Linked DNA regions of Ovis aries. The protein of the gene in region 1 purifies or fractionates together with the protein of each later gene. This does not show direct contact. Links are inferred from orthologs where the notes say so. Each region holds a gene or a part of one and is shown in the gene's direction. Other genes may lie near its edges. The genes, in order: SDHAF1 and SDHB.

The links.
Region 2: the proteins of SDHAF1 (region 1) and SDHB purify together in Homo sapiens (co-immunoprecipitation; 3 studies listed by BioGRID and IntAct, with this or other methods). This does not show direct contact. The link is inferred for Ovis aries from reciprocal best matches to the Homo sapiens genes SDHAF1 and SDHB.

The regions. Positions count from the first base shown.
Region 1 is NC_056067.1:45,972,831-45,976,026, forward strand, and holds SDHAF1 (succinate dehydrogenase assembly factor 1, mitochondrial), read left to right. Parts: upstream 1-1,380; 5' UTR 1,381-1,474; coding exon 1,475-1,831; 3' UTR 1,832-2,465; downstream 2,466-3,196.
Region 2 is NC_056055.1:249,224,010-249,228,566, forward strand, and holds the start of SDHB (succinate dehydrogenase [ubiquinone] iron-sulfur subunit, mitochondrial), read left to right. Parts: upstream 1-1,726; 5' UTR 1,727-1,924; coding exon 1,925-2,020; intron 2,021-3,347; coding exon 3,348-3,449; intron 3,450-4,557. UniProt on the Homo sapiens protein: Iron-sulfur protein (IP) subunit of the succinate dehydrogenase complex (mitochondrial respiratory chain complex II), responsible for transferring electrons from succinate to ubiquinone (coenzyme Q).

The DNA.
Region 1 (3,196 bases):
GACATTACTTTGCTGACAAAGGTCCATCTAAACAAAGCTATGGTTTTTCCAGTAGTCATGTATAGATGTGAGAGTTGGACTATAAAGAAAGTTGAGAGCCAAAGAATTGATGCTTTTGAACTGTGGTGTTGGAGAAGACTCTTGAGAGTCCCTTGGATTGCAAGGAAATCAAACCAGTCAATCCTAAAGGAAATCAGTCCTGAATATTCATTGGAAGGACTGATGCTGAAGCTGAAACTCCAATACTTTGGCCACCTGATGCGAACAACTGACTCATTAGAAAAAACCCTGATGCTGGGAAAGATTGAAGGCAGGAGGAGACGGGGAGGACAGAGGATGAGATGGTTGAATAGCATCACCTACTCGATGGACATGAGTTTGAGCAAGCTCTGGGAGTTGGTGAGGGACAGGGAAGCCTGGCGTCCATGAGGTGAGAGGAGACGACTGAGCAACTGAACTGAACTGAACTGATCGACTCCCAGACTCAGGCCCTCTCCTCAGCCCCTGACTAGCCTAGCCTCCTGCGGAAGAACCCATGACCAGATGTGCGGGGGCGTGGTCGCACGCTGGGCGGAGGGGTCCCGGGTTATCGTTGCCTGGTTCCCCACGCTCCGGGTGCCGGTAGGTGCTGGTAGGTGCTGGTAGGGTGCTGAGCGGGTCGTGGCCTTGCGGGCCTCCCAGCGCTACGAGGACGCCTCCGAATAGCCTGCGGGAACTATAACGGAATTGCAGCTGACTACCTGATACTGCCTGCAGGTCTGCGGAGTGCCAACATAGTCGAAGAGTTCCTTGTGGGCTGGACTCCGCTTCAACAGCTAGGGAGGCCCCTCCCTCTCCTACCCTCAGATCCGACTCACGTCGGCAGAGAGCGCTACCGGCCCAAACAGGCTGCGTTTGGGGGCTTATAGCCCACGGTATATTCTCAGCACCGAGAGGCTTGTTCTGCCGGCTGTGACCCAACACTTTACCGGGTATTCCTCTCCCCAGGGGTTGGGGCCTTCGATGTACACTTGCTCTGGGAGTGGGGACTCACGGAGCTTCCTATGGTTGCTTTAATAAATGAGGATAAACCCACGTGTGTGCCCGTCTTCTCTCTCCCCGTGCCCCCAGCGCTCTGGGGAACACAAGGACCCTAACCTCTAGCTCTCTCCACTCGCAGGACCCAAGAGTCAGGTCAGGATCCCCTGGTCTCTTCCGACCCCAAACCTAAGAGTCTCAGCGTCTAGCGTCCTCCTCCTCCAGGCCCTCAGGAGTACCGTCCTCTCAAGGACACTGATGTCCAGTGGGGCGGGCCAGTGAACCATTAGCTCCGCCCCTTACTCACAACATTGTGACGTAGCAGCAGCGACGACCTATGAGGCGCGACGGCGCCGCAAAGCTGGGAGCGGGAGGCGGAAGTGCCTGTGGCGGTGTTTCACCGCTTCTGCCGCCTGTTCCCGTGCGCCGCTCCGTGCCCCGCGGCCCAGCTGCTGCCATGAGCCGGCACAGCCGGTTGCAGAGGCAAGTTCTGAGCCTGTACCGCGAGCTGTTGCGCGCCGGGCGCGGGAAGCCGGGCGCCGAGGCACGGGTGCGGGCTGAATTCCGGCAGCACGCCTGCCTGCCACGCTCAGACGTACTTCGCATTGAGTACCTGTACCGCCGCGGTCGGCGCCAGCTCCAGATGCTACGCTCGGGCCACGCCACGGCCATGGGTGCCTTCGTCCGTACGCAGGACCCGACCGAGGAGTCCAACGGCGCGGGGGCCCCAGGGACCCTGTCCAATGAAGGTGACGACCGGAGGAGACCGCTAGACAGCATAAGGACACCGAAGACCCCGCTGGATGGACGGTGACCGGCTGAAGGGCTCTGCCGATGGCTCAGGGGGACTGGAGGACCGGGGGAGCCCCCCGATGGAAAGTGAGAGGTCTTGAGAAACTAGATCGACAGATTGAGGTAGTTGAAGAGCTCTCCTGGGACGTGGGGTGCGATGGCGAGAAATGCCCGGCTTTACTTGCTGTATGGTACCGGGTCAGACTTAACCAATGAGGCTTGGGGCGGGCTGTCAAACTAAAAGCTGCTTACCCTAAGGCCTGGGGAGCCAAGACGCCCCGCTGTTGGACGGAAAGAGACTTGACACGCCCTTGTCTAGAACCCTGAGAAATACCACTGGCGGCTCCTCAAAGAGACTCCTCTCTCCTGTACTTAACTCTGAGAAGAGCAGATGAGGAGGAGTTTGGGACGATGCCCTGATGGACTGGTGAGAAGCCTGGAAACCCCCTCAGAAAAATCTTTACTCCACTGAGACCAACTGGGATTGGTGAGGAAGGGGGTAAGGGGTTTCTCACCCCGCTAATCAGTTAAAGACCGCCTTAAGACCTCTGCATGATGGTTCTGAGGGTGAAACCTCCCCCTCTCCACCCCGATTCCTGCCCCTTTCCCTGCTCAGGACTGTTGGACAAAAAGGCAATAAAATGGGGGTGTGCTTACTTCCCTGTTGGTGGTGGTAAAGATTTGATGTGTTTGGGGGATTTTGGGGGTTATCAAGAAGTGACCCTCTGGCAAGGGATGGGTGTGGGGAACCCTCTAGAATGGCAGATTGGTTGGAGCAGCATAGTTCTTTCTCCTGGGCAGATCCATGGAGGGAAGCCACCCTGGTTTGACCCCCAAGGAAGCCCCTGTTGACCCCTTAATGGGGGGTAGTGAGGCGGAAGAGGAATGGTGGGGCTGAGGAGGCCTGGCTGGTAATCCCTGCAGTAGTAGTGGGACCCTCAAACCTTGCTAAGGAGTCCAGCCTCAGCTACAAGCTGGAACTGTTAGCAAGGCCTAGGGGTGGGAAAGGAGAGGTGGACCCATAGGCCACAGACATAGCTCTTCGCATGCCCCCACAGGGACGTGCCCTAGACATTCCCTGAGGTGCTGCGTTTTGTAGCCCTCAGCTGTATTTGCACCCATTAAAAGCAGTTGAGAGGAGGAGGACCTCAGGAAAGGAACTCAGAGCTCAAATCAAAGGTAGGATGCCCTGGCATGCCTGCTGCTCAGTTGGGTCTGACTCATTATAACCCCGTGGACTGTAGCCTGTGAGGCTCCTTTGTCCATAGAGTTTTTTCCAGGCAGAAATACTGGAATGGGTTGCTGTTTCCTACTCCAGGGGATCTTCTCAACCCAGGGATTGAAACCACGTCTCTTGGGTCTCCCGCATTGGCAGGCAGGTTCTTTA
Region 2 (4,557 bases), on another chromosome or scaffold:
TGAGTCTCCAGAGAGTTAGGCTGAATGAAGCCCCCCCCAAGTTAGAGAAGAGATGATTACATTATATAACTTTTGTCCAGTGACCGGCTTATAAAAATGTAGCAGGTTAGTAATTGCTGGGGGTGGAGGAGCGGGGACGGGAGGGCTGCGGGGCCTGACTGTGACTGTAAAGGAGCAGGTCCTTGTGATGACGGATGCGATGCTCTGCACTCGCGGCCGACCCTGTGGCCCCGTGGACCACACAGTCCATGGAACTCTCCAGGCCAGAATACTGGAGTGGGCAGCCGTTCCCCTCTCCAGGGGATCTTCCCAACGCAGGGATCGAACCCAGGTCTCCCGCATTGCAGGCAGATGCTTTACCAGCTGAGCCACAGGGAGGCCATACCTGGACTATATCGGGGTTACATCGTGCTGTAGTTTCGTGCATGGTCATCACTGAGGGAAATCAAGTAAAGGACAGGTGGGAGCTCAGGATTATTTCTTACAAATGCATGGGATTCTACAGTTATTTCCAAATGAAAGGTGTTAACTTAAAGAGCAGCAGTCTACGAGTATATGCAGCAGCATGAATGAATCTCAGAAGCGCTTTGTGGAGCAAGAGAAGCCAGGCCCGCAGTGTGTGACCTCACGGTGTTTATATGGAGTTCTGTCAGAGGCAGATAGATCTGCAGTGATAGAAAGCGGTCAGTTGCGGGGGGAGGGAGAGGGCGCTGACTGCAGCGGGCTTTCTTAATGGGGATGTTCTGCTGTGATTGTGGTAGTGGTTATACAATTTCATCAAAACTCGTCAAACTGTGCACTTAAAATTGGTGAATTATAATGAATATACCTCATTAAATCTCACAGAAAAGAGTGAAGAAGTGAAGTTGCTCAGTCGTGTCCGACTCTTTGCAACCCCATGGACTGTAGCCTACCAGGTTCCTCCGTCCAGGGGATGTTCCAGGCAAGGATACTGGAGTGGGTTGCCATTTCCTTCTCCAGGGGATCTTCCTGACCAGGGATCGAACCCAGGTCTCCCCCATTGTAGCCAGACGCTTTACTGTCTGAGCCACCAGGGCAGTCCCCAGAAAGGGTGGGGGTAGGGCAGTTAAGCAAGCAAAAGCTTGCTGGAGCTAATACCTGCAACCGGGAATTCTCGGCAGTCTAGTGGTTAGGACGCCCCTTTTCACTGCGAGGGCAGAGGTTCTGGGCTACTGAGGTCCTGCGCGCTGGCAGACACCGCCAAAAATGTCAAGAGTCTGTTCCCCTCCTCTGAGTCACCACAAGGTGGCGTTAGCCAAGCATTCCTGACATTTCACAAAATGGAGCCTCCAGTTGGAACGTGTTCATTTGCAGAAGTGACTTTCCTTTTTCCAATGATCCTCACCAGCTTGGTGATTTGATGAAATACAGCTTTCCTCTTCACCGTCACCTTCATTTTCTTCATACGTTTTCTTCCCGTACTGAGGGTCGATATCTTCAGCTTTGTTTAATTTGGGCTGGGTTTTGCCAGCCAGTAGTAAACTCCAGTGCATTTCTTGTAATTACTGAGTGAACCTTAAGAGTTTTTGCTTTCTTCAGCAGTTTATAAGAGAGTGAGCTGGCCTGGAATGTAGCTTGAATCTTGCCAAGTACTCTCTGGACTGGCAAGACCCTCCCCTCCTCACAGCCGCAGGAGAAGCCCGCAGGACTTGTGTGGCCTCTGCTTTGTTTTGTCTGCCTAAATGCAAAAGGGCTTCAAGGACGAGGGGACGGCGGCGGCTTGGCATTCGTTGTACGGGAATGCCACAGACAGAGGGGTACTTTTATTTCTTAATGGCTTGATGTAGGTTGCACTGTTCAGCCTTTTAAGGTACATTCAGAATAAACCACATTTTTGCATTATTCTAATGCTCAGTTTTTGCCCTTTTCTTCAGTCATTCCTAACCATGGATTGAACTGCTGTATGCAGGGGCCTGGACCAGGTCTGCTGGGAGACGGGACATGTAGGGCTCCATGCTGTCACGCGCTCTGTATCGACTTGACTGGGCCCAGACCCTTGGTAGGATGTTTCTCTGGGTGTTTCAGTGAGTGTTTTTGAATGAGTTTAACATTTTAATTGATAGATTGACAGAGGAATACAATTATTATATGATGCAATTTATATGTGGAGTCTTAAAAATAAAGCAAAATGCTGAACAGAACCAAAAAGGAAGCGGAACAAACATGGCTACCAGCGGGGGGCGGGGAGGCGGGGGGCACAGTCTGATGGGCGGGAGACGGGCTCAGGGAGGCGCAGACAGCACGGGGACTGTAGCCAGTCTCTTGTAATAACTGTAGATGTGAAGTAAGCCTTAAGATTGTATCAGAATATTTGGGGGAATTCTCGGTGGTCCAGTGGTTAAGACTTAAGGCTTTCACTGCTGAGGACCCGGATTCAGCCCTTGGTTAGGGAACTAAGATCCAACAAGCTGCACAATGTGGCCAGAAAATATACTTTTTAAAAAAATTTAAATTGTTTAAAAGTTGTTAATTGCGTTTAAGAAAATAGGATAGACTGAGTGAAGCATATTGCGCTTTCTAACACGGGCGGCCGTATCCGGTCGATTGAAGATACCGATAGAACAAAAAACTGGCCCTCCTTCAAATCAGAGGAAGCCCGTCTGTCAGGCTGGGATATTGATTCTTCTTCTCGCCTTTGGACTTGAAGTAACAGCTCTTCCTGGGTCTTGAGCGTGCTGGCATCTGAACTGGGGCTGCGTCATCGGCTCTCCAGCTTGCCCATTGCGGATCTTGGGGGTTGTTATCCCCATAACCACACGAGCCAGTTCCCCGTAGGCACGTGGGCCGGTTCTGTGTACTAACCCTCTTTTCACACTCTGTGTGTGAGTGTGTGTGTGTGTGCGTGCGTGCGTGCGTGCGTGTGTGTGCGTGCGTGCGTGCGCGGGCACACACCGTCGGTCCTGGTTCTCTGGAGAGCCTGGCTGATACACATGCCCTGGAGGAGTCAGGATGTGAGGAGAAGGAAGCGGCACCAAGAAGAGGCCTGAGAAGACGCCCAAATGAACAGAACCGTGTTCAGGAACGTGGGCTCTGGAGCCAGACCTGGGTTCCAGTCCTGGCTCCGCTGACCAGCTCTTGATTGTGGGCCCATCACTTGACCTCTGAGCCTCATTTGCTCGTCTTTAAAAATGAAGATCCAGTGGAGTCATTAATATAAAGCATTTAATACAGTGCCTGGCAGTAATAAATAGTGGCTTTTAAGATGAGGGTAAATTTAAACAGAAAACTTTTTGAGCAAAGCACCCTTTTTGCAAATACATTTTTGTGGGGAGGCTGCTCTCTTGGAGGGCGGGAAGCCGGTCCCCCTTACCACTGTCGTCTCCCAGCAGCCCCCGGCGGCGCTCCAGGGCCCCGTGGCGCGCATGAGGCCGACTGGCACAGACTGTGGACGCCCAGGAGCTGTGTTCAGAGCGCAGGTCTCTGCTGCTGTGAGTGCCCGGGCTTTGCCTTGTTCTAAGATACGGTATGCGTTACCTGGTCTCCTCTGCTGCTGTACAAAGCCGTCCTGCTGCGGGCGGATTGTGTTCCCCCAGAATTCATACGTAGGACCCCCGATGCCCAGTGTGATGGTACCTGAACCTGGGGCCTGTGAGAGGGAATTAGGGTTAGATGAGGTCATGAGGGCAGGACCTGTGTGGTGGGTCACTGCCCTCATGGAGAGAAGGAGAGACCTGAGGTCTCTGCGGCAAGTGGAGGTGGAGCAGGATGCAGCCGTCTGTCCTCACTTGGACACCAAAGCGGACCTGCTGACACCTGGCTCTTGGACTTCCCGCCTCCAGAACCATGAGAAGTAAATGTCTGCTGTGTTAGCTGCCTAGTCTTCGGTGTTTTTTTTTTTTTTACAGTGACTCAGGCTAAAATACCTAATTGAAACACCAGCGTCTCTCTTCGATCACCGCAGTCGCTTTCTAACTGGTTTCCCTAGATGTCATCTGACGAGTCTTCCTTTGTAAGCCAGTGGTGGTCTTCTCAAAAATAAAATGTCATCCACCTGATAAATTTTTGTTAGCTTCTCATTGCTCTTAGGATAAGATCAAAACTTAGAAGTCTTTCTTGCCTTCCTGGAGCCTGCCCTGTCTCATCCCGTCTCAGGTTAGCCTTTGCACAGTGGACGTCTCTCGGTCCTCACAGGGGTCTGTGCCCTCCCACCCAGGCCTCTGCACATGCTCCTTCAGCTTCTAATGCCCCTTCTCCTTGCCCTGCACCCCTAGTCATCAAGCCTCAGCCTAAGTATCCTTTATGGAGGCCTCCCTGGCCACTTAGACCAGTGTGAATCTCCGCTGCCAGGCCTCCCTCGCTGTATTCTATTATGAGTGTTCTGTCTCTCGTCTTGCTTGCTGCACACTGGTTTCTGTGAGGGCAAAGGCTGTGTGTGCTTATTCAGCGCCATTTCACCAGCCCCCAGTGCCATCGCTGGCATGGCACAGTTGCTTGGCGCCGTCTGTTGGATCTTGAAAGACTGTGTCAGGAATAGGCGAGTTTGTATCCAGTATTGCAGTTTATAGTGCCAACTAAGTAGAATGATTTATCTTGCAT